Cricetulus griseus: one gene and its partner. The protein of the gene in region 2 purifies or fractionates together with the protein of the main gene of each other region. This does not show direct contact. Links are inferred from orthologs where the notes say so. Each region holds a gene or a part of one and is shown on either strand. Other genes may lie near its edges.

The links.
Region 1: the proteins of Ubxn2a (region 2) and Ppp1r11 purify together in Homo sapiens (affinity purification with mass spectrometry; 3 studies listed by BioGRID and IntAct, counting the BioPlex papers as one, with this or other methods). This does not show direct contact. The link is inferred for Cricetulus griseus from reciprocal best matches to the Homo sapiens genes UBXN2A and PPP1R11.

The regions. Positions count from the first base shown.
Region 1 is NW_023276806.1:228,764,762-228,781,242, reverse strand, and holds Ppp1r11 (E3 ubiquitin-protein ligase PPP1R11), read right to left. Parts: upstream 7,264-16,481; 5' UTR 7,106-7,263; coding exon 7,037-7,105; intron 5,575-7,036; coding exon 5,466-5,574; intron 5,137-5,465; coding exon 4,934-5,136; 3' UTR 3,984-4,933; downstream 1-3,983. Other genes in the region: Rnf39 (RING finger protein 39), read left to right, coding at 1,148-1,170, 1,382-1,473, 2,718-3,298; Polr1h (DNA-directed RNA polymerase I subunit RPA12), read right to left, coding at 9,510-9,534, 12,773-12,882, 13,060-13,160, 13,892-14,027. UniProt on the Homo sapiens protein: Atypical E3 ubiquitin-protein ligase which ubiquitinates TLR2 at 'Lys-754' leading to its degradation by the proteasome.
Region 2 is NC_048600.1:15,649,290-15,665,301, forward strand, and holds the end of Ubxn2a (UBX domain-containing protein 2A), read right to left. Parts: intron 12,725-16,012; coding exon 12,583-12,724; intron 10,812-12,582; coding exon 10,705-10,811; intron 9,084-10,704; coding exon 8,946-9,083; intron 8,152-8,945; coding exon 7,993-8,151; intron 5,173-7,992; coding exon 4,983-5,172; 3' UTR 3,243-4,982; downstream 1-3,242. Other genes in the region: Mfsd2b (major facilitator superfamily domain-containing protein 2B), read right to left, coding at 114-182. UniProt on the Homo sapiens protein: Acts to repress the ubiquitination and subsequent endoplasmic reticulum-associated degradation of CHRNA3 by the STUB1-VCP-UBXN2A complex in cortical neurons.

The DNA of each region.
Region 1 (16,481 bases), on a different chromosome or scaffold from region 2:
AGGAGCCCAGGGAGGGTGGAGATAGGACCGAATGAACACTTACTGGAGTCAAGGTTGAGAGTGGGTGCAGAAAAAGCAGAAGTGTAGGAGACTGGCAAATGGGGTGGGGGCGTGGTAGGCAGATCCAAACGCTGCAAGTGAGGCAGGGGTTCTCCTAACAAGCTCTAGCTGAGCTGTAAGTTGTTATTGTTCTCAACTCCTCCCAGGTCCCCAGGCAGGGGTGGAAACAGGCGGAGGTTAGGTCCGGGTGAGCAGCTGGCAGGCCTCTGGCTGGTAGCCACGTTGCAGCCCTACAGTCTCCTCACTAGGCCCTCCCTGGGCCCCTTTGGACACCAACCACTCCCATTCCTCAAGGGGATCTCATCTGGTTTACTTCCCCTTAGCAGCCCTCCTGCCCTGGGTCCTGCTTCCGCCCTTCGAAGGCCACACAGATTTAATTAGTCTAGGTGTAATTGCCATCCTTTTCCCCCTTGCCACATTACTGGACTCTACAGCCATCCTCACTGGGCAACAGAAAAGAGGGATGGAGGAACCCCAGTGCTGGAGGGGAGAGAACCCAGCGCCCTCTTCTGGCTGCCGTGGTTCCCTCCGAAATCTGTAGGGCCTCTTGGGACACTTCAGAGTTCAGGGGCCTGGGGGTAGAGATGACATAAAACAAAGAGGCCAATAAACGCCACTGAGCTTTTAAGACAAGAGGGGAAGCAGCTTTATTGTGAGGCTTTCATATAACAACTCAACTCAAGGAACATGGGTGTGTGTTCACATTTTATGGAGAAGAGATGGGCATTTGTCTGGAACACACTCAAGGATAGCACTACTGAAAGAGAGTGAGAGCGTGGGCCTGGGGGATTAACACGAGGTAAGAAGTAGTTATGTGGAGGCCGAGGAAGGGAGAAGAACCCTTGGAGGATGGAGTCAGGAGCATGAAGAGAAAGTGATTTTGGAGTGAGCAGAACAGAAGGCCATGGAAGAAGACGGGAGAGCAGAAGAGGAAAATGCAGCAGAGGGAGGAAAGGGACATCATTTTAAGAGGTGGGAGGGTATCAACCACTCAGAGGGTATCAACCCTCCCCTGAGGTGGAGGGGAGGATCCTCCAGGGTGAACCTGATGCTCACACCCATGTTGTTTTTCTTCTGCCCATACCAGGATATGAGGAAGACATGGAGACGGTGAGTTCCATTTTTACCGTTTCTTCCTTTCAACTGCCTGCTGCCATAGCCATCACCTCCTCTCCAGGGCCAGATCTTTGTCTCCACTTACCAATAGGCTTTCTGGAGTATAGCCTCACCTGTTTCTGTTGAGAGCAAGTGGGTTAGGATTGGGGTCATCCGAACTAGCATCAAGACACAAGAATGCTGACAACTTCCTTCATTTGTCCAGATTTGATGTCCCAACACCCAAGTCATCTAACTCAGGGGAGGAGCTACCTGAAGATTACCCTGTGGTAAAGAACATGCTTCACAGACTGACAGGTGAGGAGGGAAGGGAAGGGGAACGTAATGTGTGCTGTTTGCTTCCTTTCAACTGTCAGAAATGGTGAAGCCCCTTTTGGTATCGGTTTTGATGTCCTAGGGCTGAAATAACAAAGTGCCAACAACAGGTGAACTGAGCAACCATCCACACCTCAAAGTATAGAGGTAGAAGTGTGAGGGCTCAGGAGAAATCTGTTGCATGCCTCTCCCCTGGGTTCTGGAAGCCTCAGCACTCCTTTGGCCCATATATAGTCTTACCTGGGGTTCCTTCTGTGTGCCTTGTCTGTGTCTCAGTGTCTCCTCTCCCCTTTAAGGTAGTGGTCATACTGCATCAGGGCCCACCCGAATATTGGTCTCAGTATTTACCTGATTCCCTTTGTGAAAATACTTTTCCCACGTAGAGTAAATTCAGAAAGTTGGGTAACAAAAGTGAAACTTCTCCAGTCTTTTTAAACAGTGTCTTCCTGTGTCTCCCAGGCTGGTGTAGAAGTCAATCCCTTCCTTCCTGTCTCTGCCTCTAACCTTCCTCTAATGTGCAGAGGCTACAAGTATGTAACACCACACCTGGCGGGACGCAGGATTAAACTCAGAACATCATCCTTAATTCCTCAGATCTCGGCCACTTTCCCTCATCCTTTTGTGGACACCTAAACGGTACCCGATCGCTCTCAGGAACCCCTGCTTCTACCCTCTCCCTTTGCTCTTGAGAAGGGTCCGGAGAGTCCAGTATCTCTTACCCCTTTGCCCATTCCCAAGTTAGCTCTCCATTTGTTTTTAAAGTGCCTGGAGAAGATGCTCTACCCCTTAGTCACACATTCATCTCACTTAATCCAAATTACTTCTAGCTCCTAATCCAGAAGTGTTTCCTTAAAGCTCCCCTCCCCCACTCCCACACCTATAAAGTCAGTGGCTCTTTCTGGTCCCTTTGGCCATCTCTGTCTCTCCTCTGGCTGCATCTCCTATAGAAACGGGCCTGTCCCTTCCTGCCTCTGCGAGGGTGAGTGGCCTGGTTTTACTGGATACCTTAGAGTCCTCCCTTTGCCCCTCCTTCAATCACTTTGGTTCCTATCAGGTTTCAGCCTCCCTCAGAAGTCTTGCTGACCTGGCTCCTGCACCCCACCCAGATGCTTAGATTCAAGGGTTTATGCCTTTTGTTTTGTTCTTAAGACAGGGTCTCTTCTCCACCCTTCTTGGCCGGACTCAAGAAACTTATCATGTGGTGTTCCCCGGCCTCTCTTTTGCAGCTGATCTGACACTTGACCCTCGCACTGCACACCGTGGTCTGCTCATCTCCTCTGACAACCGAGGCGTGAGTCTGGCTCCACCTGGAACGCCAGAGCCGCTGGACAGCCCTGCCCGCTTCGATCAGCTCCTAGCCGTGCTGGGTGCCCAGGGCTTCGCGTCAGGCCGCCACTGCTGGGAGGTGGAGACCGTGGAGGGCGCGTCCTTCAGAGACTCTGCCTCGGAGAATGAGGATGCAGGAGAGAGCTGCTATGCCGTGGGCGCGGCCGGGGAATCGGTGACGCGCAAGGGCCTCATCAAGCTGTGCCCATCCGAGGCTGTTTGGGCCGTGGAGGGCCGTGGCGGCCGCCTATGGGCACTCACGGCCCCAGAGCCCACTCTGCTAGGCGGAGCCAGGCCCCCGCCTCAGCGCATTCGCGTGGACTTGGACTGGGAGCGGGGCCGTGTGGCCTTCTATGACGGCCGCTCACTGGACTTGCTCTTCGCCTTCCAGGCGCCCAGACCGCTGGGGGAGCGGGTCTTCCCGCTGCTCTGTACTTGTGATCCCCGCTCCCCACTGCGCATCGTGCCTGGAGAAGGCTGAGTGTCTGGGTTCCCTACCTCCTACCCTAGTTTAGCCTGGAGGCTACTTCTCTCTGGTGCAGAAATCTCCACCTATTTCAGTAATCTTGTCCGTACACCTGTCGCAGCAGGAGCATTAATAAGCACCCTTTACCCACTCACATTCTTTCTCCCACAGCAAGACCTCAAAATGGCTTGTACATCCGTGCCTTTAAGCCAGTCTGGTCCTGCGTCTCCATGCCCAAACCCAACCTTTTCTTTGAGTTCCCTTTCTGTACCGTTCCAGGCAGGGATAGGGAAAGGCTCTATACCACCAGTACTGGGAAACAGTCCACATTTATCGCCAATCATAAAGGGCTAGGGCCTGATCCACAGTAGGAAGGCTGGAGCCTGAATTCCCCTCAAGAAAAATAGGTCCTCCTAAAATAAGATGATCAACTCATAACCTAAGCCCTTCAGACCCAAAACCTAAAATATAAATTTTGGGATGTGTATGCAAGCTAGTCCACCCTCTATACTTCTTCTATGACTGTTTTCTATGCTCATAGCCTCTTCCCTTTAAACATCCTCTTGGAAATCCATCTTGCACACAAAAGAACCGACGGTGCTACCCCCCTTCTCAATCTGGGAGCAGTCCAGGCATCCCAAACATCCTTGTATAGTTTCCCATCCTCCCCATGTGTATAAATGGACCTGTATTTAACACATTGCGCAATGTTGGGTTATTTATTTTGTGCATCTGTGGCAATAAATGAGATCTCAGTGGTGGTATGGGTTTTGCTGATCTCTGTACTGTGCACAGCTAGAGGCCTGGAGGACAATACCCAGATCCCAGCACCAGTTGGGGAGGGCTGAGAGAGCAAGACACCTGGGCTGGCAGAGACATCAGGCAGGAAAGGGTAGGAGTGTACTGCAGGGCCTGTTCCCTCATCTCTGCTTTCTCCCTCTTTCCTTTAAGGGACCCAGGCCCCTTAGACAACAGCGATGAAGCTCAAAGATTAAAGGCTGAGAAACTTGTAGGCTCTAAGTCATTGGTCTCAGCCAGCTCAGAAATGCTATATTCAGGTCATGACTATTTTTGGGGTCCACTTTCCATTATAGGTTCTGACCCTTTTGAGGGTCAGAAGGGGTAAGAGCAGAACCCTATGGTGTCCCCAAAACCTTAGATTCCCACAGGCAAGGACTAAGATTTAGGATAACTTCGTAAGTGGAAGAACTGTAAGCCAGGATTAATATGCAGAGCTGGGGTGCAATATTGCTTGGAATCTGACTGGGGTCCTGGCAGTGAAAGCTGGGATGGTTGAAAACCCAATTTAAATGCTTGGGACTCAAGCTAAGGGTGCAGGTGGCCAAGATAACTGGATCCCAGGACAGGTGTTTTGGCAGTGAGAACAAAAGGGACAGACTGAGACCAAGATGCCTGAATCCCAGGCACAGAGCAAACTGTAGGGAAGGAGAGGCTGGGAGAACCCAGAAGCCTGGGTTCTGGAACAGCAGCAAGTCAGAATTCCAGGATCTCTATCCACCCTCCTCTTCCTCTTCTCTATCAGGCAGGAGAGGGAAGGAGGGGGCAGGAGAAGGGATCAGACCATGGGTTGAATCCCCATGTAGCCAGATGGATACATTTGGGGCCAGGCAGACACATGGTGAGAGGGATTTAGTGCTGCATAGGTCCTGGAGGGGGCTGAGATGGGTCAGGAGGCTGGGGGGGAGTGGTTGGAGTGGGTCCTGGGGTTGAATGACGCCGTCCTTTGCGGTGACCCCGCACACAGTGTGTGTGACCACAACCTTCTTCTTCATCCTCCTCACTCTCGGTGGAGCTCTCACCAAAGGCCCGAGGTTTCTCATAAATACAGCAGCCTAGATGTAGGGAGAGGAAATCAGTTAAGAAGGATGAGGAACACAATGTCCAGTCTGTTTCATTTCCAACAGATTTATGTGCAATTTTTCTCCCACCTTCCAGAATCCATGCCCCTTAAGCCTCCCACCCCAGGGACTCTGGCATCCACACTCTTTGTCTCTTCAGAGACCCAGAAGCATCTTTCTCCCACTCCGACATGGCTTGCTCCACAGACTTGGCAACTCTTAGTTTTAGCTCTATCCCCATCTATTTTCTTTCCCAAGAAAGTAAAGAGAACCGTAAAGGTCTGGGAGGCAGTGGTGAGGGCTGCTGGGGCAACAGCACTCACATTTTGATGAGCGGCGCCCCATGTGTTCATTGTCCACAGTGTCACTTGTCCATTCCACCTTTTTCTCTGGCTTCCGTTTCCGAAGTTTAATGGTTAGGCTCCGATTCTCCTGTAAGGTTAAGAGGTATGGGCCCATCTAGCTAATCTCCTCTTGACCTTTCCTGTTTCCCAAGGTACCTCCTCTTTTCTCCTCCCTTGCTCAATCAGTACCATACACCAGGCCACTGGAGGAGCCGGGTGCTGGGAGCCAAAACAGACCATGTTTTTAACCTTTTCATGAGGAATGTGAACTCCTATTCTTGAAAACTACTAGTATGCAAAAAGGACAGTCCTTAACCTAGGGAAGGTGCCGGTAAATCTCCAAAGGAAAGCACAACCCTCCCTGTTTCTTCATCTTCCTTCCAAATCATCCTTGGTGGTGCCAATACCGGAGAGTTATTTTCTCAGTTCCCTGTGACTGGTCTTTGGCCTTCCTTCCTTTCTCCACACCTCTTACTTACGTTCCCGCTAAAGAGATTAGAAGCATGTGAGCTAAGCATATAGGAGACGGAGACAGAAGCCAACAGAAGCCAGCCTCTGCAATGTGGTAAAGCTTTTCCTTTCAAAAACAAAATAAAAATTTAAAAAATAATAATAAAGCAGGGCTTCCGAGACAGTTCTGTTGGTAAAGTGCTTCCTGAGTTTGATTCCCAAAATCCATATTTAAAAAAAAAAAGTTAGGTGTAGTGGTGGTGCATGTTTGTAATACCAGTACTGGAGATGTGAAGACAGGCAGATCTCTTGACAGCCAGTCTAGCTGACTTGGCAGCTCCAGGAAAAATGATTTTCTCAAATCAACAAGCAAAGCAAAACAAAACAAAACAAAACACACACACACACACACACAAACAGGTACACCGTGCCTGAGAAAAATCTAAGGTTGACTTCTGCCCCTGCCACACCTGAACAAGCAAAATAAAACAAAAATCCAAAACCCTTCTTCTCCAAAGAAAGCCTTCATTCTCTAACATCCTGGCATCTCTGGCAATAATTACTAAACTCCTTCAACCCAGACATTACGCCCAACCCATCTTCCTCCCCTTGAAAGCAATTTAACTTGCTTTTGCAAAATTCTACTTGTTTCCTTATTTGCGTCTCTCCTCTCTGATCTGTCAAAATACTACCTTCACCTTATTTTGTTTCCTTATTCCCTGCCCCCCACTTTAACACGCACCCATTCCATGACTATCTATTGGTTAAGTACTCGTCCTTTACGTTTGCCTCCAAAACCATGCTTTCTCAAATAGCCTTTCCTTCCCTCCCAGGACCTTCCTTGCTGCCTTAACCCAGGTTCCGTTTATTACGTACACAGACCACCGCATCAAGCCGTGACACCTATACCCTGACTGTAACGTCCCTTGACTGGTCACTATCACGATCTGAGCCACTCCAAGCATCCCCAGTCCCTGGCGATCTTCCCAAGAGTCATCCCCACATGTCCCAGATCCCAAACCCTCCAACTTTCCAAAGCCCTACTTCCCTCCCAGTTCCTCCCAGACCCCTAAATAGGCCCCCCCGCCCGCCTTTCTCACGGGCTCGGTTGTCACGGTAACCGTTGTCTCAGTGACGGTCTCACTCAGCCCGGCCCCTGCCTCCGCCATGGCTAAAGCGAAAAGCCAGGAAGCGGGATGGGACACCCTTCCCTTTTTCTGCGCTTCTGGGATCTAAGAGATCCGGTACTCGATTCAGAGTAGCGGCCAGGAACCTCTGGATTCTTATTCTTCCCTTCCTCCAGGGCCTCTGCTTCCCCACCCCTGGGCATAACCTGTCCAATCCCACTTCCGGCCTTTCACTTCCGGGTGTGACGCATCCTGCAGAACCCAGTTTCCCTTCACCGGCACGGCTCGGGCAAAAGCGCAGGCGTCGCCAGATCAGTTCCGCCGTATTCTAACACTGCGCAGACGCCGCAGGTAGCAGAAGTGACGTCACTGTGGGGCGGGGCCAGCTCCTTCAGGGCCTAAGTTCATTGGGGGAAGAGTCAACTCCGGAGCTGCGGAGCGCAGAGGATGTGCGATCTGTGTGCTCAGCACCCCTAACCCTGTCAGCTGTACCCATAAACCTGGGCGGGAAAGTAAGTGGGACTCGGCCAAGTTCCATTTTCTTATCATTCTGTCGAGAAACCGTTTTCCAGGAGCAGGAAACGCACTGGGTTCTAGTCCTCTCTCTGTAAGTCTGGGAGGGAGAGCACACTAAATTTGGAATTTTCCCAGCGTGGTAGGTCCTAAAATAAAAGTATTCCCTGTTATTCTAGTTCCCAGTTTGAAGAATACCAAGGCTAGGCTGTGGGGGGCGCCGCAACAAATTCAAAGACATCTGCTTAAATTTTGTTGAATCACTTGCAGTGATATATTATTTATGATTTATTAAAGCCTGCCTGAGGATTCAGAATCAAAGTCAGCCACAAGCCATAGAAGCCAGGCACACACCTTTAATCCCAGCAGTCAGAAGCTAGGAGGTGGTGGTACACACCTTTAGTCCTGAAACTCAGGATTAAGTGGTAGATGGATCTCTCTGAGTTCAAGGCCACCCAGGGATACATGACATTGAATCGGTCTAAAAGAGTGACAGATAACACACCTTTAATCCCAGCACTAGAGGGGTATAGAAGATAGAATCAGGGTCTTCAGGATTCAGTAGGAGGCATTCATTCTCCAGCCACACTGAGGAGAGGCAGCAGTTTGAGGCTTGGTGAAGAGCTCGTGTGTGGATCTGCCCTTTCAGCTTGAGCTTGAGGTGAGAGCTAGTGGCTGGCTGCTTTGCTTCCCTGATCTTCAGCTTGAACCCCAATATTTGTCTCTCGGTCTTTTATTTTTTTCGTGCAACACTACCTATCCAAATATTTTGTTTCCTTACAATGAGGAACTAGATTTAGATAGAATATATGCATATGTCTAACAGCTTTTTTTTTTTTGCCTTTGTAATGGTTAACATTACAATTAGAGTTACTATGCTTGAGAGACCAAAAAAAAAAAAAAAAAAAAAAAAAGCCTGTTAACGTGTAAGCCCCTAGCTTGTACAGGCTGTAACCTACCAGTCCACTCCTTTCCCCCCCCCAGATGGGGTTTATCTGTGTAGCCCTGGACATCCTGGAACTTGCTCTGTAGAACAGACTGGCTTTGAACTCAAGAGATTTGCCTGCCCCTGTCTCCTAAGTGCTGTGATCAAAGTCATGCACCACAACCACTCTGTAAAGACTATTCTTAAATTGACAGATCTTGTCAAATTTGCCATTTTAGCAAGACAATAAGTCATAAAACTAACTGCTATTTCTGCTTTTGTAATCAAACTTGCTTACTCTGCTCAATGGCTAGGACAACTGTAGGACATGTATGTTAAAATCAGACCTGCCTACACATAGAATACATGTAATCCTGCCATTTTTTGACTTTATAAGCCTTGGGCTGATGTAACTAGAAGCTACATTTTGGGAGCACTTTTGGTTGGAGTCCTTGTGCCATGAGTATCCAGTATCAGTATTTAATAAAGCCTCTTATTAAAATTTATTTATGGTCATGGTGATTCTCTTAGTGACCCCAGACACATAACAGCTTCATTCCAGACTCCATTATTTTATCCTTAGTTTTGTTGTTGTTCTTTTTTTAAAGCTATATTCTAGGTCATTTAAATTTCCTTTGGAATAAGACAGATTATTGTTATTTTTGGTTTTTAGGCATCTTGTTAGGTAGCTTTGACTGGCTTTGATTCATTATAGTAAGTTCCCTGTCCTTAAGCTTGAAACCTTCTTGCCTCCACCCTGAAGTTCTGGGATCACAGGACATATGCCACCAGCCTGGCCAGAATAAGACTACAAATAACACACATAATGCCAAGGTTCCATAGAAAATATAACTTTAGTAAATTCAACTAAGGGAAGGAGTGCTCTGGGGGTGATGATCTTATGCTGAGAACAAAGCACCAGCGGGGAAGGAGAAGGCAACAAAGGACCAATATCTTCACCTTCCAAGAGGAGGAATGGTGTTGCTGAGTTGCCAGGGAAAAAAAAGGTCAAGAATCTTCCTTTTCCTGAAACCTAGGGAGAAAGAAAGGACTTGTTATATTTAACCAAAATGAATTTCTAGCAGTGTAATATGAGATAGAAACCCCTGGAGGACTTTTTCTTATGACAGGGATGGGTAAGCTTCCTCCCAACAAACCTTCAATTCTAACCTCCAGGTAACTAATATCTAATTATTTATTACCTTGAAGTGTGAAAACTCTTTTCCAGGACAGAAAAAGCACCAGCCAAGAAAATGAAAAAGATAAACTAGACCTCATAAAAATTAGAGACGTTGTAGCTGGACATCTGTAGAACCCTACAGATGCAGGGAATGCAGCATTCACCCAGACCTTAAGAAACCAGAAGTTCAAATTCTAAAATCATAGCATACAGTCAAAAATTACAAAGTTAAGAACTACCATAAGAAAATCAGCAGAAATGACATCAGACCCACAAAAAACAGTGGCTATCAGAATTGCCACACTCAGATAAACATGTTTAGTATGTTTCATATACATTTAAAGAACAAAAGGAGCGATTTAAAATCAGTGGGAGCTGGGGAGATGGCTCAGTGGTTAAGAGCACTCATTGCTCTTGCAGAGAATCCAGGTTTTATTCCTAGCACCCACATGGTGGTTCAGAACCATCTGTAACTCCAGTTCCAGGGAATCTGAAACCCTTTTCTGACTTCTGTGGGTACCAGGCATGCACATGGTGCACTGACATACATGTAAGCAAAATACTCATACACATAAAATAATAAATGTTAAATACAGTAGTTGGAAGTTTTATAACGACTAAAGGGCTACATTGTTCAGATGATTCATGAGGTTTGAAAAGAAGTAGTAATAACCCAGGGGCTGAGGAGAAGGCTCAGCAGGTAAAGTGTCTGCTGCACATACATGAGGACTTGGGTGTGGATTCCCAGCACCCATTTAAAAATAGAGAAGATTCTGGTGTCACGGTCCCCATGTACAGAATGGACTCCACTCAAGCTGGGAGGCATGGGACAATGACAGACAGGAAGAACGTCCAAAGCTCACTAGGTAGCCAGCCTAGCCTGAGCTCCAGGCTCAGATACAATGCCTCGAAAGATGAGGTGGAGAGCTGGAAGTGGTGGCACACACCATGAATGCCAGCACTCTGGAGGCAGAGGAAGATGAGTACCTGTGAGTTTGAGGCCAGCATGGTCTACACAGAGTTCCACACCAACTAAGAATATAGTGAAACCCTGTCTCAAAACAAAAAGGAAGGCTGAGATAAAGACACTTGACGAAACTACTCAATGCCTAACTTAGGCCTTCATATGCACACTTGCACAGATAGGTGCATACATCCACATGAACACCACACAACACTCTCACCACCAAACACACATACAAATTGAGTCAAGATTAATGACCTACAGGAAAGATCTGGAGAAGTGCCCAGAAGACAGTATAAACAGAAATGGGAGGGGAAATACAGAAGACAAGATGAGAATGTGAAAGTCCAGTAACTAATTTGAGGACATGGGGAGGAGCAAGATTGGAGTGAAGTACCAGCTGATAAATTTCCAAGGTTGATGAAATATGAATCAATTCTCAGCTTCAGAAGCCTAATGAGAGGCTGGGCATATAGTTCCGTTAGTAGAGTGCTTATGTAGGTCTCATGAAACTCCGAGTTAGATTTTCAGCACCATAAGAAACATCTGTGGTGGCACACACCTGGAACCTGTAATCCTTGTGTTTCAGAGGTGGAAGCAGGATGATTAGATCAAGAAAGAAAGGGAAAAAGTCCATTTAAAATCCTAAACAGGGGCAAATAGAGAAGAGCTCAGGGTACAGCTGAAGGTACAACACTTCCTAACCATGCCCGAAAACCTGGAATAAAGCTGGCAGTACCCCAGGAAGAAGGAAAACAATAACAAAAAGCAAAAATACAGAAAGCCACATGCTAATGTTCTGCATCGGAACTACACAACAACCAAGACAAAGATGGTTTCAAACTACTCCCACCGTGTTCTTTGAATCATGCAAGATTAACTACGTAAGGTCACACCCCTTTTGCGGTGGAAGATTTCATCATGTTGTGCCACTGTGCAAACCGATGTCTGTGTTCTAAAATTTCCTTTCTAGTAGCTTTTTGTGTGTTTTACAGACTCTCTGTGTAGCCCAGGCTGGCCTTGAAAAATGATCCTCCTTCGGGTCACCACACCCAGCTTTCCTTTTACATATCTTTTTTTTTTTTTTTTTTTTTTTTTGATTTTTTTTTGAGAGAGGGTTTCTCTGTGGCTTTGGAGGCTGTCCTGGAACTAGCTCTTGTAGACCAGGCTAGTCTCAAACTCACAGAGATTCGCCTGCCTCTGCCTCCCGAGTGCTGGGATTAAAGGCGTGTGCCACCAACACCCGGCCCTTTTACATGTCTTAAAAGATTTAGTTCACCTCCTGAACCAGGATGTCAGTTTGGAGGTCTGGTTAATCTATGGGGCCTCTGGTAGTGGATCAGTATTTATCCCTAGTACATGAATGGACTTTGGGAGCCCATTCCACAGAGGGATACTCTCTCAGCCTAGATACATGGGGGGAGGGTCTAGCCCTGCTCCAAATGATATGACAGACTTTGAAGATCCCCCATGGAAGCCTCACCCTTCCTAGGGAGCAGAAAGGGGATAGGATGGGGGTTGGTTGGGGGGGGAAGGGGAGGAGGGGAGGGTGAGGGGACTGAGATTGACACGTAAATGAAGCTTGTTTCTAATTTAAAGAAAAAAAAAGATTTAGTTCACTGGCTGTCACAAGAATAACGGGGCTATTTATTGAGATAACTCAGCAGTTAAGAGCTCATACTGTTGCAAGGGATCCAAGTTCAGTTCTCAGCACCCACATCTGACTGCTCGTAACTACCTGTAACTCCAGTTCCAGGGGATTTAATGTTTCTGACTTTGGTGGGCATCTGCACATTCAAGTATAAAAACACCTACAAATTAACTTAAAAAAAATAAACATCTTTTTAACAAGTCAGGTGGAGTGGCACATGCTTGAATCTCAGCATTCAGGAAGCAGAGGGAGGAGAACTGCTTAAGGTTTGAGGCCAACCTGGGTTGTATGGTTGGGAGTTCAAGGCTAGTCTGGGTATGTAAGTGAGTCCCCTGTCTCACAAAACACAAATAAAAAGGGGCTACGATCCTCCCTATTATGGACTGGGCAAAATGACATAACTTAGTACAAGTCTGTCATGGCTTTTGTTGTTTGTAAACACTGAGAAGGGGCAGAGGGAGAGAAAAGATTCTCACTTGCAGTTGACACAGGTATAGAAGACAGTCTGCCCTTCATCAGCTGAACGCATCTGTCTGGTGTGGTACGCCATTCCCTCATGACCACATCGAGGGCATCGCCGGTCAACCTAGAAAGAAACAGATGGTTATGGAGACCCAGTAACAATAACTCTGCTTTCCTACAGCAATTAGACTGTTACAACCCGTCCCCACCTCCACCACGGGCATTCTGCCGGAATGGAGTGCAAAACCAGATCTCCACAATCACCTTCTCATTGCTCTTTGGGAGCCACTCATCAGCTTACCACTGGTCCCTGGGATTCAGGTCCTTCCTCCACAGACGTAGGTATAGCCGCCCCCAGTTTGTGGAACACGACTGAGGTCTTTACAGCCTTCCCTTCGAAATCTGCACAGGAAGTAGAAAATTAGTAGATATGGCAGAGGAGGCAACGAATCCCAGCAACACTTGCAGGTGGGTCAAGCGGGAGCCCACAAGTGACTCAGCCTCCATCTGGAGTCTACTCTGACTTATAGGACATTAGAGTTAAAGCTTGCGTGTTTCAGTCTCCTTGAGAGACGCGCGAAAGTTCTGATTAAGCTCGTGGAAAAGAGCATAGTATCTAACAAGCTTCTGATGCCAGCTGAAAGGCACACAGAGATAGGAAATGAAGCTTCTCGCTGCTAGCAGGGCTCACCTGATGGTGAGCCCGCCTGCTCCTCTAATTCAAGGGCAGTACATGGAGCTAGTTAACTGATTACAGTGCTCCGTATTCTGCTTTGCCTCTAGTCTGTGTATATGCAGAGTCTAGTTTAAACTCGGGGATGTCCGGTGTGCTGAAAGTCATGGACCGGGCAGTCCTCCCGTTTCTGCCTCTGTTTCTTTAGCTGCCGTTTCTCAATTCCCATCCTCCCCCTACTCGGGTGACCCAGCTGAGTCTTTGGAGCAGGCTCCGCCTGGGTCACATCCTCTCTTTGGGTGTCTTCCCTGGGTCAGTCTGACTGACAGATTCCAGTTCTGGGTCTGGAGTCCCTAAGCCCAACCAGTGCTGAGGTCATCCCACCCCCATCACCCCCCCACGGACCCTTCCATTGGACCCACCCTCGGCTGCGTCCAGCGTGTACAAACCCCTCACCCACCTCGCACGTCTATGGAGAAGCCACAGCGAGGGCAGACGACAGCATCCTGAGTTCCTGGCAGCGGCAGGACCGAGCCGCAATCTGGGCAGAAATCCAAGTCGGACTGAAAGCTGGAGACGGGGCTGGCCAGCTCCATGGCGGACAAGAGCTGGAAAAGGAAAGAGAAGTTTATGAGTGAGACGCAGGAGTCTCGTCTTGGAGGTGGGTCCCCATCGCGTCCCGGGCGGTCCTTACCCGAGTCCACCTCTCACCGGGTAATCCGATGTCCGGCACCTCAGCCCGCGGGGAAACTTGTTCGGCGGACCGGAAGCCACGAGAGCTCAGATCCCCAGCACCGGGCTAGAGCGGCCGACCGCAGGGCAGCGAGTGCACCAGGCGGGCTAGAGCGCCCTGGCGTCCCGGCGGCCGTTGGGTCGTGACGTCATAGTTCGTAGCGCTCCTGGTCGAGCGACCTGTGGCGGGGAGGGAATTGGAGGCTGCACACGGCCTGGAGGCTGTGACGTGGGCCGAGCGGAGGCAAGTAGCCAACGTCGGGCCACCCGCTGCTCTCCGGCTCCCCACCGATCCTGGACTGTTTGTTTTCCCACACTTATCAGGGGAAGGGGGCGGGAACGGCCCCTTAAAAGTACTTATTCGGCCCCCCTCCCCCGAGCCACTGAGTGCGTCGGGTAAGGAGAACTACAACTCCCGCCGGTTCCTGGGGCTTTTTCTTTTTCTTCTTCTTTTTTTTTTTCTTTGCGGCTGCTCAGTATTGCGCATCCTTTTGCTCCCCCCCTCCCTACTGGTTGTCGCTGGGAGCAACTGAGTGAGTCAGCTTCCTAAGGATCTTCGGGCTTTGGAAATCGTGGAACAAGTGAGATTAGGGCTCTTATCCCTTCGGTTCTTTAATCATTAATCAAAGCACCTCTTTTGATTTACCAGGGATTAGGTTTGGCTTTCTCTTGCAGAACACCTTCCACTCCCCTAAGCTCCCATTCACCCATGGCTAAATACTTGCCATCAGCTAAGTGAACACTAGGACAAGTGATTCATTCACTTGTCCGAAGGCTACAAAGTGAGGAAAACTTGTGTTCTGAAGAAGGACCAGCTCGAAATCAGCGTTCGCAGCCCCTCCAGCAGCCAACCTGATTGCCATGCTGAGGCTGGTCTTACAGGACACAAGGAGAGCCCTCATTTGTCTTTCTGTGCATGCAATTAAGGTTCGAGAAAACCCCGGGGAAGGAGTTAAAAAAAAAAAAAAATCTCAGCAAGATGTCGAAAAGGGCATCATTTTACTAAGATCCAGCCATTTTACTTGGTGAAATTGGGTGTCATTTTGCTCATCTAGCAAAGCTCTGTTGCTGAGCCCGTGATGGTAGGGCACTTTAAATTTCATCCCTGTGTCCTCTTTCAAAGTAGAAATTGAAATTAGTCCCACTCCCCCCTTTAAGGTTGACATTCATCAGACGTCCACTATGGTTTGACAGATACCTTTAATGCATAAGGCATGAAATTCCTTTCCCAACAAAAAGCTGTCTATTCGATAAGTATTGAGCACCTGTGCCAGGTCTAGAGCTGAGACTGGGATTGCATAGTTGAAGCCTGTGTTCTCTCTTTCAATGCAAATGAGTAGTTAGAATACAGAGAAAGTACACTAGTAGGTGCTTGAACCAGGGATATTGTCTACAAGGATGTCCCTGTATATACCTTCATATGCTTCATAGAGGACAGGTGCATGCTTTAATGAAAAGATGCAGCATGCCCGTGTGGTGGTACATGCCTTATCGTAGCACTAAGGAAGCTGAGGCAGGAGGATTGTGCATTTGTGGTCACCTTGGACTGTAGAGCAGTGTCTAAGCCAGCCTCAATATGTAGTGAATCCTTTTCTAAAAGTGTGTGTGTGTGTGTGTGTGTGTGTGTGTGTGTGTGTGTGTGTGTGTGTGTATGCACGCGCTGGGATGGACCCCAGGGCCTTGGGAGGTAAGCCCTTTACTACTGAGTTAAATTCCCTCATAACTGAGGGAAAGATGATTAGCTACTGTGTGATAATAAAGTCATGATTTTACAATCATAGTACTATATTTGATGACTTGTGTAAGAAATGAAAGAATGGGGCTGGAGAAATGGCTTGGTGTTTAAGAGCACTGGCCGCTCTTCAGAGGACCCTGGTTCAGTTCCCAGCATCAATATCACCTGAGTGCTCACAGCCATCATCAACTCCAGTTTCAGGGGATTCAGTGCCCTTCAGGGAGGCTCTTCAGGCCTCCACAGTCAAAAGAAAACACTCATAAAATAAAATATTTTATAAAGAAATGCAAGTGAGGTGGTCATTATTATTTTTTGGAGGTAGGATCTCATAGCCTAGGCTAACCTAAAACTCATAGTATTCTTCCTGCTTCAGCCTCATAAGTGTTAGTACAGGCATGAAACCTCCATGTCAAGTTCTAGGATGTTTTGAATGTTTTGCCTGCATGTATGTATGTATACATACCTGATTCTGCCAGAGGTCAGTAGAGGGTGTCTGACTCCCTGTAACTGGAGTTACAGATGGTTATGAGCTGCCATGTGGGTTCGGGGTCTCGGACATAGGTCCTTTGAAAGAGCAGCCAGT
Region 2 (16,012 bases):
CAAACTTTGTACTCTGCCCAACAACTGGATGAAGGGCTGTGGCAGGTGCCTCTCTACCCTGCCCATGGGAGCGCCATGCAGACCCGCTTCCCTCTCGCCCTCCTGGCGCTCACCGAGCCTGGCTCCTGGGTGTGAGGCTCTGCGACCCGGGCCGCCTGGGTGGGTTCCTGAGGCAATGACATCTCAGGGCTGCTCCTCTGACTGCGAAGCTCTGGGCTCTGTTGTGCTTGGGGTGGGTCCAGCCGAGTGGGCGCGGCCCTGGGCGTGCAGGCAGCCGGCCCCTTGGGGCCCCAGCAGTCCTTTGCGGTGGTCTGCCCAGCTTGGGGATACCCAGGACCTCCAAGCTTCCGGTTGTCTTCTCCAAGGAGGAGCTCGCCTATCGTCATACACCTAGGAAAAGCTGGCAAGTCCTCGGGGACCGGCGATTTTCTTTTCTTGGCAGACGTGACGTGTTGTAGATAGAAACCCTCGGCTAACCCCACCCCCCACCCCTTGGGTGAAAGCCAGCAAATAAATTTAGCCTTTAAATGAAGCAATACACTCTACTTGTTCAGACTAAAATTATAGCTGAGTGGGCTTTTCAGCCCGAACAACACATTTCCCAGGCTTTCCTATAATAGGTAACTGGTAGGTTTGTCTATACAACTAAGTCCGGGCCTGAGTGAAGTGTGGTAGGTGCAATATCCCAGGAAGTGCTTTAAAAGGGAAAGGGCCGCACTGCATAAAACTCCTGTCAAAATAGTGTAACCAGCCCGCCTTGTATTACCAGACTACTGAAACAATGAACCCCAGAAATCAGTCAGAGCCTCCTCCGGCAACAATACAACAAAACCAAGCAACTCCTGGGAGAAAGGCCCTGGGCAGCCTGAAGAAACTTGTTAGAGAAGGATCTCTACTTGTCTTTCTGAGTCCACCTTGGCCCGACTGAGGAGTTCTACTCCCTCTTGGACTTTGGAGGTCATCGGATCTTTTGGTTACTGTCCTCAACGTGCTCATACTGAATTTTCACCATGCATTTGACTGAGTTAGTGTATTGAGAATGGACGGCTCAACCTGGTTTGTTGGGGACACAGGCTGTGACCTTAAGCCCAGCAACAATAGGTGCAATGTACATATTAGACAACTGTACCTTAGGACACAAGCACAAGTTGCACAAACTTTGTGTTGCAAATAGTCACACGTGGCAAGATAATCATATTCTCCCAAGTGTGGGAGATAATATTCACAAATTATAAAGTACTTATATTGGGATATACAAATAGCTCTTAATAACAGAAAAAAATCTCATTTTAAAATTCATAATGTGATACTCTAAAGATACACAGATGAACTATAAGGACATAAAAACATCCTCGTGCTGGCTATGGCTGTGCATGTCTTTCTTAGAGACAATTTCCCTGTGTAGCCTTGGCTGTCCTGGAACTTGAATTGTGGACCAGGCTGGCCTCAAACTCAGAGATCCGTCTGCCTCTGCCTCGAGTGCTGGGATGAAAGGTGTGCGTTACCACACTCAAGAGTTCTTTTTTTTTTTTTTTTTTGGTTTTTCTGTGGCTTTGGAGGCTGTCCTGGAACTAGCTCTTGTAGACCAGGCTGGCCTCGAACTCACAGAGATCTGCCTGCCTCTTGCCCCCATGTGCTGGGATTAAAGACGTGCGCCACCAACGCCCGGCAAGAGTTCCTTTTCAAGGAGATGCAAATTTCCAAAATTATATCCTGGTTGAATACTATAGTTGAATAGACTTAAAAAATCATTGACTTTTTTTTGTGCCTGGCAGCACAGCTATCTTGAGAACCCATGTCAACTTAATCTGAGATTATCTTTGGAATTGGCGTTTTATAACTTTCTATAGTGAGTATGAATTATGAGTATGAATTGTCTGTGCCAAAACAACTTAAAACAAATGACAAAGAGCAAAATATAAATGTAATGAGTAAGTCATTTCTGAGATTCTAGTGTGATGAACAACTTTTTAGAAAAGCAGTTTGTTCTTTGGCAAAGAAGAACAAAGGAATATATTAATAAACCTCCATGCTATGTCTTAAGAACAAATACAATCGTTGGGCTGGTACTAAAATATCACTTTTTCACATTTCTGAACATGAAATGAAAATAACACTGGTTAAAGAAAAGGCATCTAACAAATAATCATTGATTCTCAAACCGAATGACAAATAATGACAAAAGCATTCACATGTAACTGTTTTATAACAAATGTAAATTATTAACAGATCCTTTCAATGAACAGCACTTTACCTTAGAATAGTTCATTTAACCATTAGCAAAATATCACATCAAAAATATATTAATGTTGTTTGTAGTTTACTCTTTGGCTCTTTTGCGGGGCCTGCCACCCAGCTCCCAAATAAACCACACAGAGGCTTATTTTTTCTTATGAATGCCTGGCCTTAGCTTGGTTTGTTTCTAGCTAGTTTTTCTTAAATTATCCAGACTACCTTTTGCCTCTGGGCCTTTTCTTTTTCTTCTGTATATCTTACTTTCACTCTTACTCCTGGATGGCTGGCTGGCCCCTGACATCATCCTCTCTCCTTGTTCTATCTTGCCCCTTTCTCATTTCTCCTCCTATCTATTCTCTCTGCCTGCCAGCCCTGCCTATTCCTTCTCCTGCCTTGCTATTGGCTGTTCAGCTCTTTATTAGACCATCAGGTGTTTTAGACAGGCAAAGAATCACAGCTTCACAGAGTTACACAATTGCAGCATTAACAAAAGCAACACATCTTTACATCCTTAAACAAATGTTCCAGAGCATAAACAAATGTAACACACCTTAAAATAATATTCTACAACATATTAAGGCACTAAAATAAATACACATACTGCACTGTCAATGTTTGGAAACATGAAGTATACCAGATATGTACTTCTGTATGTCCACCTTATCTGCAAGATAACTGACTGGTGACAGATTTGAAGCAATGACTTGGGTCAAACTGCTCCCACTCCTAAAATGTTCACTTATTTCAAGTTTTACTTCCCTTGGCATTTATTTTTCCAAAGTCAACCTGTGGTAAGGACTCTAGACACTTCACAACTTTTAAATTTCAAGTAAAAAGCTTTATCAGATGATTATCTTTAAGAACATTGTTGATACTAACAGTTTTCACAGTTTAAAAAAACATGAGTTATTGCTGATAACTGTTCTTCCTATTGGAACCTCTCCCTGACATGTACTCTACAAGACACACAAGAAATCCTGTTAATTAGAAACTGAGAAATCCACAAAGGAGGCTTTTTTGTTTTGTTGTTGTTGTTGTTTTTTTTTTTTTTTGGGGGGGGGTAGATACATGAGAAATGTAGAAACATTCACAAATTTATAACATGACAAAATAGATTCTAGTTGAGAGGTGGCAAACAAATGGCTAATTACAAAACTAGCTGAAAATAAGTTCCTAGTTTTGGGGGAGAAATTTGGAAGAGAATGAACTGTGGTTCTTGGAGAATTCTTGGTTTGCAGTATGGCGGTGCTCTTCAATGACTCAACATACCTCATCCTCTACAATGATGGTGACAGCCTACATACAGTACATAGTGTGATAGCACGGAGTCCTACCTCACCATGAGCTCCCACCCTAACTCCTTGAAGAAGATCACTTTCCTCACGTATTTCTGCCCATTACATGAGTGATCACCTGCTGAAGGCAGGGGCCAGCATCACACCCCGGGGGAAATGATGAGCTGGCCAGCATTCCCTATCTGCAAACAAGGCTCTGCACATGTAGGGCCATCATTCCGCACCTCAGCAATAGCAGTGTACAGATTTTCTTCCAGAACCACACCAAACTTATCCTGTGCCTCCAATGGCAGCAGTGACCTACATCGACAAGACGGACTTCTGCACATACTGCCTAAGCCTTCTGGAGGAATATGGCTGCTGCAAGGAACTGGCTAGCTGGCTACGCTCTGCCTGCACCATGGTAGACAAGCTGTTGAGCTCGAAACTGTCTGCAACTGCCTCAAGACCTCTTCCTAGGCCTCTCTCTGTCCTTTGGACTGGTGCCCCTGGCCTTGGGGGCTGGGTGTGGAACAAATTCCCCCTTGAAGGGGCTGCCATGTATGCTATTTTTTTTATATGCTTACATATGTTAATGATTCCCTGCCCTCAAGCCCAATGTATGAATTTTATGTTTTTCTCTTGAATTTGGTACTCCCTTTCCTCGTTTTTTAATATATTATCTTTATATACATTAAATAAATATGCATCCTTTTAAAAAAAGGATTAAAATACACACACACACACACACACACACACACACACACACACACATATATATATATATATATATATATATATATATATATTGGCTGGGGACTGACTGAACCTAAAGTCTCATAACTACTTGGCAAATACTCTACTATTGAACTACATCCCCAGCCCATAAAATTACATATAAAAGGTATAGAAAAGTATGTAGGCACCCAATACTGACATTGTACTAAGCTACACGATTTTATTCCTAAAATATTATATATCTTGGATACTATTGCCAAATTAATATTTGAATATCTCTTGCCATCATAGAGTGAAATCTGAGAAGGCTTAGGCAACATAATAATTACATTGGTGTTTTTAACAAGTCATGTACAATATTTTAAGTGTTGCTATTTAAAACTGAGATAGCTAACATTTATATTAATAATCTGCTGTTTGGAAATAATGTTTCAATGCTAATGCTGTGGATATTTTGCTACTTTAGAACACATTAAGATTAATGATACAGCTATTTAATATATATTGGTTAACTATAATAAGTATTTGAAAATACTTTTTTTCTGAGTGGCCTTTGAGAAATGTACATTAACTGGTTTCCAGCTATACATTATTCTCTAACTTGTGATTATTTAAGCCCCTCATAAGGAATTAAGCAGCACTCAAACCTCAAGCTCAATCAAACTGTCTTCTGTCTCCCACTTCTGCATGTCCACTTCCAACCATCATTTCCCTGTCTCTCAAAAATCAAAACTGTTAGAGTTTTCTAAAAGGCTCCGAAGTTATCTGGAGTCTCTGAATGATCACAGCATTCTGCAAATCTGCTTCTTCCAATGTGAGTGTCTCATCCAGAAGTCTGAGGAAAGGAAAAGCTGTTGCCAGGGCAAACGGGGGGCTTCTCTGAGATCCTTGGTATTTTTCAATGAAGTCTTTGATGTGGCTCACCCTGCAAAATACCACAAACTATTAATTTATGAAAACCTGAAGTAGCTAATTTAAGGTAGCATCAACTTGTATAGATATTTGGATTTTTTTTTTTTTTTTTTTTGAGACAGGGTTTCTCTGTGTAGCTTTGGAGCCTATCCTGGCACTCGCTCTGTAGACCAGGCTGGCCTCGAACTCACATAGATCTGCCTGCCTCTGCCTCCTGAATGCTGGGATCAAAGGCATGCAAGGCGGCCTGGTCTACAAGAGCTAGTTTCAGGACAGCCTCCAAAGCCATAGAGAAACCCTGTCTCGAAAACCCAAAATAAATAAATAAATAAAAATAAAAGATATATCCCTGAAAAACACAGAACAAGCATTCCAATTGGTAAAAGGAAAGTCTAAAGTTTGGTATGATGGGTGGTACACGACTACAATCCAATCATTCAGAAGGTTGGGTGGGACAGGAAGACTTCCATTAGTCTGAGGCCAGCCTGAATTACACAATGGGATGTAAGATAAGACCCTGTTCTCAAAAAAGGCCGGGTGGTGACGACACACATGCCTTTAATTCCAGCACTTGGGAGGCAGAGCCCAACCTGGTCTACAATTCAAGTTCCAGGACAGCCAGGGCTACACAGAGAAACCCTGTCTTGGAAAACCCAACCCAACCCAAATCAAACAAAAAAACAAATCCTATATGGACATGGTGGTACAAGCCTGTATTCCTAGCACAAGGGTGGCTAAGGCAGTATTGTGAGCTGAAAGTCACCCTAAATTATAGAAAATTCCAGGTCAACCTGGGATACAAACAAGCAAATGGCCCATGCAAGCTGACTAACCATCCACTTAATAAACACTGTAAGCCAGCTAAAAATTTTACACTAGAGATCTTAGCCTACTAATGGTGAGGAAGACATGCTTTAATCCCCTATGAGGTACATTATTCAGAAAAATACAAGAATTTTGCCTCAGGGGGACATAGCTTAAGATATACAGAGCAGGGTGGGTGTGGAGTTCAAAACTGAGCATGGAAAAAGAGTGAGACCCCAGCTCATAAAAACACAGATGTAGGGAGGAAAGAAAATGCCTCAAGCAAGCAAACACACTAAGAGATTAAAAGGTAAAATAGACACATTTCTAATTGGTGATTTTAGTATAATCCTCTTGTAACTGATAAAGTGAAAGTGCTAGGTAGTATCATGAAGGAAGCCCTGGGTTAAATCCTGAGCATTGGCTGTGTATGTGGGGAAGCAATAATTAAAAGAAAACAACAACAATGTGGATCTGGCATAAAGATAAACAGATCAGGGGCTGGAGAGATGGCTACTATTTCAGAGGACCTGAGTTCAAGTCCCAGGACCCACATGGCAGCTCAAAACTATCAGTAATTTCAGTTCCAGGGGATTGGACACCTTCATATCAACACACATAAAATAAAGTTAAAAAAAACATAAAAACAAACCAACCAAGAAAACCTGGGCAACCAACAGATCACCTGGGCAGTGGTGGTACACGCCTTTGATCCCAGCTCTTGGGAGGTACCTGGTCTACAACGAGAGTTCTAGGACAGCCAGGATTATTACACAGAGAAACCCTGTCTCAAAAAATTAACAAACAAACAACAACAACAAACACATAATGGAGAGTCCAGAGCAGCTGCAAGCATCTGATTTAAAATGGACACCATGGCAGGGGAGAGAAGACAGAGAGACCGTCTTCTGTACAAACAGAACATGGCCAGTAGAGTATAATACTGAGTAACACAAGAGCACTCTTACTCAAAGGAGACTAACTGCATCTTGTGCCTCTACCTCTGCTACAAGAACAGGGCCAGCTCCTTTGTTGGTTTAAGAAAGTGGGAGACAGAAGAACAGACCCAGAGTCAGTGACCTGGAAATGAGCCCAGCTGAGATCCACAAAGCCATACCAGAAAACACAAGACAAAGATTGTACAATTATAGCGAACTTGTTATGTAACTTTTTTTTTTTTTTTTTTTTTGAAATAGGGTCTCACTGTGTAGCCTTGGCTGGCCTGGCCTGAAACTCACTATGTAGACCAGGTTGGCCTAACTCAGAGATCTACTGCCTCTGCCTCCCAAGCCCCAGCACGAAGGTCTATACCACCACACCCTGCCCTGTTCTATAACTTTTTAAAACTCAGTATCATGTTTTGTGGGATTTTGTGACTGTACTGTGCAGCAGGGGGACTGACACATCTGTATAAATAAATTTAAACTTGGATTGTTGCCAATGGATAAAATGGATAAACAATTATTTATGTATGGTAGAATATGACAGACAAAAATTGGTCTGGGCTGTAGTTTACTGGTAGGGCATATATGCCTAATGGATATGAGGTACTCGGCAATGAAATAATAGAGAGAATGAACTTACTTCAGTATGGAAGCCCCAGTCAACATGATACTGGCTTTTTTTTTTTTTTTTTTAAAGATTTTATTTATTCATTTATTATGCATACAGTCTTCTGCCTGCATGCCAGCAGAGGGCACCAGATCTCATTCAGGGTGGTTGTGAGCCACCATGTGGTTGCTGGGAATTGAACTCAGGACCTCTGGAAGAACAGTCAGTGCTCTTAACTGCTGAACCATCTCTCCAGCTCCATGATACTGGCTTTAAAAACTCCAAAACAAAGCAAAAAATACCTCTGACTAAACATAGTTGAGTCTAAGAATCCTATGTTGATTGACACATTAAACTTGGGAGAGCTATTTTAAAAAGCCTTCATTAGTTCTCAAAAATCAGTGTTATCTAAACTTAAAAGAAGAGACAAAATTTAAAATTGGAAAACAAATCAGTCAAGCACAGAATCAGGACTGACCTGTGAGAAACATTAAATCTTTGGACAGTCCTTTCCCCATTGGCCAACCAGATCTGGATCCTGGTGATGGGCTCCAAGTTGTTCAGTGGAACAGCAGACAAAGTACTTTTATTTTCAACTTCAATACTCTTTGCTTTAGAAATGACTTTTGGTGTAGCACTAAGAAAATGTGAATAATAAAGTCAGACACATGTTTTCTCATTATAAAAATTTTACATTCAGTTTCTAGGAAGAGTTTTTTAAGTCACAACTCCTCTCTTTGTAATAAACATGTTAGTTATGTTCATAACATATATACTCTAGGAGTTAAATAAAATTATGCATACCCAATTAATCTGTAAACTTACAGAATGACATGTAAATTAGCATTACCTGGGGTACAGGATGAGTCTCTAAAAGAATTATTTTCTCTGTAGAGTTTAGCCCTTGATTAATCAAGGGGAAAAAAGCAAAGTATTTTAAAAGGTATACCTACAAGTTTCCATATGTAAAGCTGAAAATGTATACACCTTCCTACTAGTAATAAATGAAAATAAGGGTCTGGGTATGTACTCAGTTGTTAGAATGCTTCTTAGCATACGCAAATTCTCGGTCCAATCTGCAATACCCCATAAAACCAATCATATGGCAAACATTATAATCACAGCACTAGAGGGGTGGAGGCAGAAGGATCAGAAGTTCAAAGCCATCCTTGGTCATATGAAGACCCTGCCTAAAACAAGCTAACCAAAACCAAATCAGCATTAAAAAAAAAAAAAAAAATCTCATTTGGGAGCTTGGGATTTATTTCAGTTTTAACTATTTGCCTTACATGTTTTATGGGCCCTAGGTTAGAGCCCCAGCATCAGGAAAAAAAAAAAAAAAAAAAAAGAAAATCACTTCCAACAGCAGAAATACTAAGTTCTATATGGTTAGAATAATGAGAAAACGTCTGTCACAATAACCATACTTACCTTCCTAGTCTGTGACCCTGTCCTGAGAAGGGCTGGAATACAGGCTTTGTAGACATACATACTTCATTTTTTTTATCTTCAACTTTAACATCCACCTCTTCTTTATCAAAAATTCCCTGTAGTTCTGAAGGTAATTCCCTTTGAAAGAAAAGAAAACGATAAAGTTCCTGTTTTCCCACAAATAGGCTTTGGGAGCCCATTCCCTATGGAGGGATACTATTGCAGGCCAGATACAGCAAGGAGGGCCTACACTCTCCCCCAAACAATATGACAGACTTTGAAGGTCCTTGGTAGAGGGCTTCACTATCCCTGGGGAGAAGTGGGGAGGCCTGTGGGGTGTGGGGTGTGGGTGGGGAACATGGGAGGAGGGGAGGACGAGGGAATGGGGAATGGATATGTAAATATGAGTAGTTAAAAAAAAAAAAAAAGAAGTTCCTATTTTCCCTTTTTCTGAGATACATATTCCATATGCCAAAAGAACTACATGATTTGTAGAAGTATAATGTATGGATTAAGGAGGTAGTTTAGCTGGCTGGGCACTTGGCTAGCATGTGCAGGTCTTTAGCAGCATATAAGCAAGCCATGGTGGTACACACTACAATCCCAGCACTTGGGACATGGAAGCAGGATGATCAGAAGTTCAAGGTTCTCCTTGACTACAAAGCAAGTTGGAGGTCAGCCTAGACTACAACAGACCCTTGTAAAAATATATAGGGCTGGTAAAGGTACTTGTTACCAAGCCTAATAAGAGTTTCATCTCTGGAACCCATATGGTAGAAGGAGAGAACAAACCCCTGCCAAGTGTCTTCTGACTTCCAATATGGACACTGTAGCACACAGGGGTGTCTTATATGTATAAATAAATAGATACATGTCCAGTTTTATAGCATTACCTAGAATAGTATTAAATTCATAATACTTGATTACACACTGCTACTTTTTTGTTGTTGTTTTGTTTTTCTTTCCAGACAGGGTTTCTCTGTGTAGCTTTGGAGCCTGTCCTGGAACTAGTAGACCAGGCTAGCCTCGAACTCAGAGATCTGCCTACCTCTGCCTCCCACGTGCTGGGATTAAAGGTGTGCGCCACCACTGCAACATGATGCTAATTTAAAAAGTTTTATTGTGTGTGTGCACGTATATGTACTTATTTGTATGGCATTAAGGAATAAGTGGCAAGACTTTGATGGATCAGAATTCAAATTCCTAAACTTCAAAATTATAGCTGTATCCTGGGCTTATTGGTGCATGCCCATAATTCCACTTGAGGCCAGTCTGGTCTACATAGTACACTCCAGGTTAGCCAATATTGTATTTTGAGACCCAGTACCAATAAAACAAAAAAATTAGTTATGGCTCTCTAAGGAAAATGTCAATTTAAAAAAAATAAAAAAGGCACTACAAGCCAGGCATGGTGGACCACATCTTTCATCCCAGCACTAGGGAGGCAGAGGCAAAAGGATCTCTGTGAGCTCAAGGCCAGCCTGATTTACAGTACCAGGATAGCAGGGACTGTCACACAGAGAAACTGTGTCTCAAAAAAAAGTAAAACAACAACAAAAGGGGTTTGGGGTGGGCATGGTCTTTAATCCCAGTTCTGAGAAAACAAGATGGCAGTGTACTGTTGAGTCTAAGGCTAGCCTGGAGGGAGAGTGAGAGGGGAGGGATAGGGGATGGGGAGAAAGATAAAGATCAATGATTCTTTCATAAGAAACTAGCCTGAAGTACCCTTCTACTATATATATATATATATCCTGCTTACCCCTTTTTGATGGAGTTCAGAAACTGCTGACTTGCACCATCAGAGTAACTTCTAAAGTCATCATTGACTGTGAATCCATTTTTCCACAATTTTATATTTATATCTACCTAAAAGGCAGTAAAGGCAGGCATGAATTGTAAGAAAGGTTGATCCTGAGCTCACTAAATAGCTTAGACTGGCCTTGAACTCCAGATCCTCCTACCTGAGTTCACAGGCTTTCACTAGCACACCCAGCTAATGAATGACTTTATAATAACATATTAGTCATTTAGAAAATAGTGGTTCCTGAAGCCTTGAAAATCTAAATGCTAATGTATTTCCTTATCTGATAGACATTATAGCTATTAAAATAACACTAACATCAAGAGGAAATTCTGTAAGTTTGAAAAGCTGTCAAATGCATGAAAGAGATTTCTTCAAATTCCTATTCTGGTTAAAAGTTGACTAAGTAAAATCTTTGCATTTGTAACAAATACAGTTTTAAGTTGTCTCCCTTGAAGTACCAGGCTCACTTAATTTTTCTGTGGAAATGCCTGCCAAAATAGCCAAGTCTAATGGGTGTGTGTATGCTGCATGTAGAGGCCAGAACTTGAAGTCCGTGTCTTCTTTAATTGTTATTTTATCCCATCCCAATAAAGGGCTAGGGAGTTGGCTGAGCAGTTAATAGCACTGGCTGCTCTTTCAGAAGACCCAGGTCCAATTCCCAACACTCTCATGGCAGCTCACAACTGTCTGTAACTCCAGTTCCAGGGGATCTGACACCTTCATACCAATATATATAAAGTTAAATAAATTATTAAAAAAAAAGACCACTAGGCAGTTAGGAGTACTCGTTGTTGGTTTGGTTCCTAGGACCTGCTCCACTAAACATCTGTAACTCTGTCTAGTTCCAGGAGAACTGGCTCTCTCTGTTGGCAGCCAGCACACATGTGGTAGATATACATATACATACCTTCAGACAAAACATTCAAACACATAAAATAAATAAATGTGCTCCGAGCCGGGTGTTGGTGGCACACACCTTTAATCCCAGCACTTGGGAGGCAGAGGCAGGCAGGCGGATCTCTGTGAGTTCGAGGCCAGCCTGGTCTCCAGAGCGAGTGCCAGGATAGGCTCCAATGCTACAGAGAAACCCTGTCTTGAAAAACCATAAATAAATAAATGAATATATAAATGTGTTCCATTTCCAGGTTTTGTTTACTTTTTAAACTATAATTCATCAATGTTTATAATTGGTACTATCATGACTGAAATATCTCTGACTGAACCTGGAGTTCACCAATTCAGCTAGATTGGCTAGCCACCCAGCACAGGGATGGTCTGTCTCTCTGCATCTCCAGCCCTGGGAATGAGTCTTTTGGTTTTTTATGTATGTGGCAGCTGGGAGTCCCAATCTAGCTCCTCACATTTAAAGTGCCTGCCACGTAAACCTTGCATCCTGAATATTCCAGCCTTGACTTAATTATGTGGCTGAGGACAACTTCAGACTTCCAGTTCTCCTGACTCTCCATCTCCTGAGTGTCGGGATTACAGATTCATATCAGCATGCCCAGTTTACAAAATGCTGGGTTGAATGCAGAGCTTTGTGTCTGCTATGTAAGCATTCTCTCAGTTGAGCTACCTCCTCAGCTCCATCACAGACATTCTTAACTAGAAGCATCATTTATTTGGTTTGTAAATTCAAGTAAGTAATATAACAGTTTATAACTTGGTTTTGCTGGTTTTGCTTCCTGCTCAGATGCCAACAACTTTACTCACTGTTGCTTTTCTGACACCTGTGCAAATTCAACATAATGAAAATGGTAAATAATAGCTTTACTATTACAAAAGTAGTTTTGACTTCAGGGATCCTCCTAGAGGTCACTAAGTAACATTTACCTGTTTCTTCTGTTCAGTGGGGGACAAGCATTTGGCCCCAACCTTCTCTGCTTCCTCAAAAAGGCTGTCAACAAAATATTCACAGTCCCTTTGTTGATTATCATTGAGGGATTGATTGTCAGGAGGTCCTGTTTCACAAACCCTAAAAGTAAAATAAAGCAAAATAAAATAAAAATCAAGTGCTTAACCTCTAAGTTAATGAAGACGTAATCCTGGGGAAGTCATTAAACATGTTTTAATATAGACCAGTTCTATACACAATTGGGGAAGGCTAACTTTTTGCTTTGAAGGGATATCTATCTGTTCAAAGATGTGTTTGATTAAATAAAATTAACCTTCTAGCAGGAGGCTGAGTCAGCAAGTAGCTGACAGGAAGTGGTAAGGAGAAATCACATGTAGCAAGGGTTTTTAAGTGGGGGCAGAGAGACTATGCCAGCAAAGGAGGTTAGCTCCTTGCTATTCAGCCTCTCTGGGCCAGCAGAATTCAACCTCAAACCTTGAATTGTGAGTTCTTTAGATGAGATAAAGTTTCCCTAAATAGCTTTGAAAGAGTAGGTGACTGAGAGAACAGAATCCTCTCAGGCAGCAGCCCTTGCAGGAAAGCCATTGCTTACTGGGTAGCCACTGTAGACAATAAAAAAACATAGTCACAGGTATCTTTTGTATTTTAGGGTTTATCAGGGCCCTTGACATTTATCCATACAGTATGAAGGCACAAATGATAACAAAGCAGAGTGAAATGAATACGAAAATGACATAATAAATCCACTACTTTGGAACTTAAAAAATTAATTTAAGAGCCCCCAAACTAGATGTTCATTATTGCATTATGTGTATGAGTATGTGTGTAGGTGTACATGTGTAGAAGCACTGTGGAGGTTGGAGAACAACTTGTGGGAATTATGGGAATTTGTTTACTCTTTCCACCATGGGTCCTGGGGATCAAACTCAGGTTGTAAGTTCGACAACAACGGAGCTATTACACTTGCCCCAGAATTTTAAAAATAATTTTTAAAGACATCAGAAGGGGGCTAGAAAGATGATTCCTATACATGGCGGCTCACAACTATGGTAACTGTAGTTCCAGAAGATCTGATGCTGTATTCTAGCCTCTTAAGACAATATTCCTATACAGATAATTAAATCTTTGAAAAACACATTTTGTTTTTCGAGACAGGGTTTCTCTGTGGCTTGGAGGCTGTCCTGAAACTAGCTCTTGTAGACCAGGCTGGTCTTGAACTCAGAGATCCACCTGCCTCTGCCTCCTGAGTGCTGGGATTAAAGGTGTGCATCACCAACACCTGGCTTGCACACTGCTTATTCTTAATTATAAAAGCCCGGTTTGGCTTGGCTTGTTTCTAGTCAGCTTTTCTTAAATTATTATCCCATATACCTATTGTCTTTTGTTTTTTTCCTTTTCTTCTGTAAATCTTAATCTCACACTTACTCCATGGGGTGGCTGGGTGGTTGGCCCCTGAAGTCCTCTTCTTTGTTCTGTCTTGTTCCTTCTTCCCAGATTTCTCCTCCTATTTATTCTCTCTGCCTGCCAGCCCTGCCTATCTTTTCTCCTACCTCACTATTGGCTGTTCAGCTCTTTATTAGACCATCAAGTGTTTTGAACACTGGAAGTAACACAGCTTCACAGAGTTAAACAAATGCAACATAAAGGAATGCAACACATCATTGCATCATTGAAACAAATGTTTCAGAGCATTAACAAATGTAACACCTTAAAAAATAATATTCTGGCCAGACATTGGTGGTGCATGCCTTTAATCCCAGAACAGCACTCCGGAGGCAGAGGCAGTTGGATCTCTGTGAGTTTGAGGCCAGCCTGGTCTCTAGAGTGAATGCCAGGATAGGCTCCAAAGCTATACAGAGAAACCCTGTCTCAAAAAACCAAAATAATTTATTAATAATAATAATAATCTGCAACAACATGATCTCCTATGTCCCAGACTGGCCACAAATTTTCTAAGTGGCCTATGATGGTCTTGAACTACTGCCTCCATCTACCAAGTGCTAGCATTATAAGCAGGGGACACATCCTGGATTTATATGGTGCTAGGGACTGAACCCAGGGCCTATCACACCAGGCAAAAACCCTACCAACTAAGGCATATGCCCAGTCAAAGTACATTATTTTGAAGGGTTCAAAATAACCTTTTTATTACATCTATCCCCCCCCCACACACACACACAGATGCATTCACCAAAGCTGACCTCAGTAGGCCCAGGCTACCATGGTGGCCCATGCCTTTAATCCCAGCACTCCGCAGGCAGAGGCAAGAGGATCTTTCTGAGTTGAAGGCCAGCATGGTCTACAGAGTGAGTTCCAGGACAGCCAGGGTTACATAGAAAAACCCTCTCTCAAAAAAATTAAGACCAGGGGCTGGAGAGATGGCTCAGAGGTTAAGAGCACTGACTGCTCTTCCAGGGGTCCTGAGTTCAATTCCCAGCAACCACATGGTGGCTCACAACCATCCTTTATGAGCTCTCGTGCCCTCTTCTGGTGTGCAAACATACATGGAAGCAGAATGCTGTATAATAAATAAAATCTTAAAAAAATAATAATAATAATAAAAAAAAATTAAGACCAAAACGGGAAAGAAAAAAATGTATTTAGGGCTCAGTAAATTGGCTTAGGTGGTAAAACTACTTATTGTGTTTAATCCCAAGATCCCCCATAATCATGGAAGGAAAGAACTGATTCCACAAAGTTGACCTCTGACCACACACAAATATGGAATGTAGGTGGGCGGGCGCGCGCGCGCGCGCGCACGCGCACACACACACACACACACACACACACACACACACACACACACACACACACACACACACTATAAGATTAATGAGTTTTATCCATATAGTAGTTTTTTTTTTTTTTTTTTTTTTTGGTGTTTTGAGGCAGGGCTTCCATGTATTGCTTTGAAGGCTGTCCTGGAATTTGCTCTGTAGACCAAGCTGGCCTCGAGCTCACAGAGATCAGCCTCCCAAGTGCACCACCAATGCCCGGCCAAAAAGCAGTTTTTAAACTACAATCATAGCCTGGCGTGGTGGTGGAAGCCTGTATTTCCAGCTACTTAGCAGACTGGGGGAGCTTTGTAAATTCAATGAATCTGTGGGCAACAGAGTGAGTTTAAGTCCAACCTGGGCAATTTAGTGATGCCCCATCACAAAAAGAGCTGGGAATGTAGCTCAATGTTAGGATGCTTGCTTTGACTATGTGAGGCCCTAGGTTCAATCCCTACAAAGGAAGGAAGGATCTTTTTTTTTTTTTTTTTTTTTTTTTTGAGACAGGGTTTCTCTGTGGCTTTGGAGGCCGTCCTGGAACTAGCTCTTGTAGACCAGGTTGGTCTCAAACTCACAGAGATCTGCCTGCCTCTGCCTCCCGAGTGCTGGGATTAAAGGCGTGGGACACCACAGA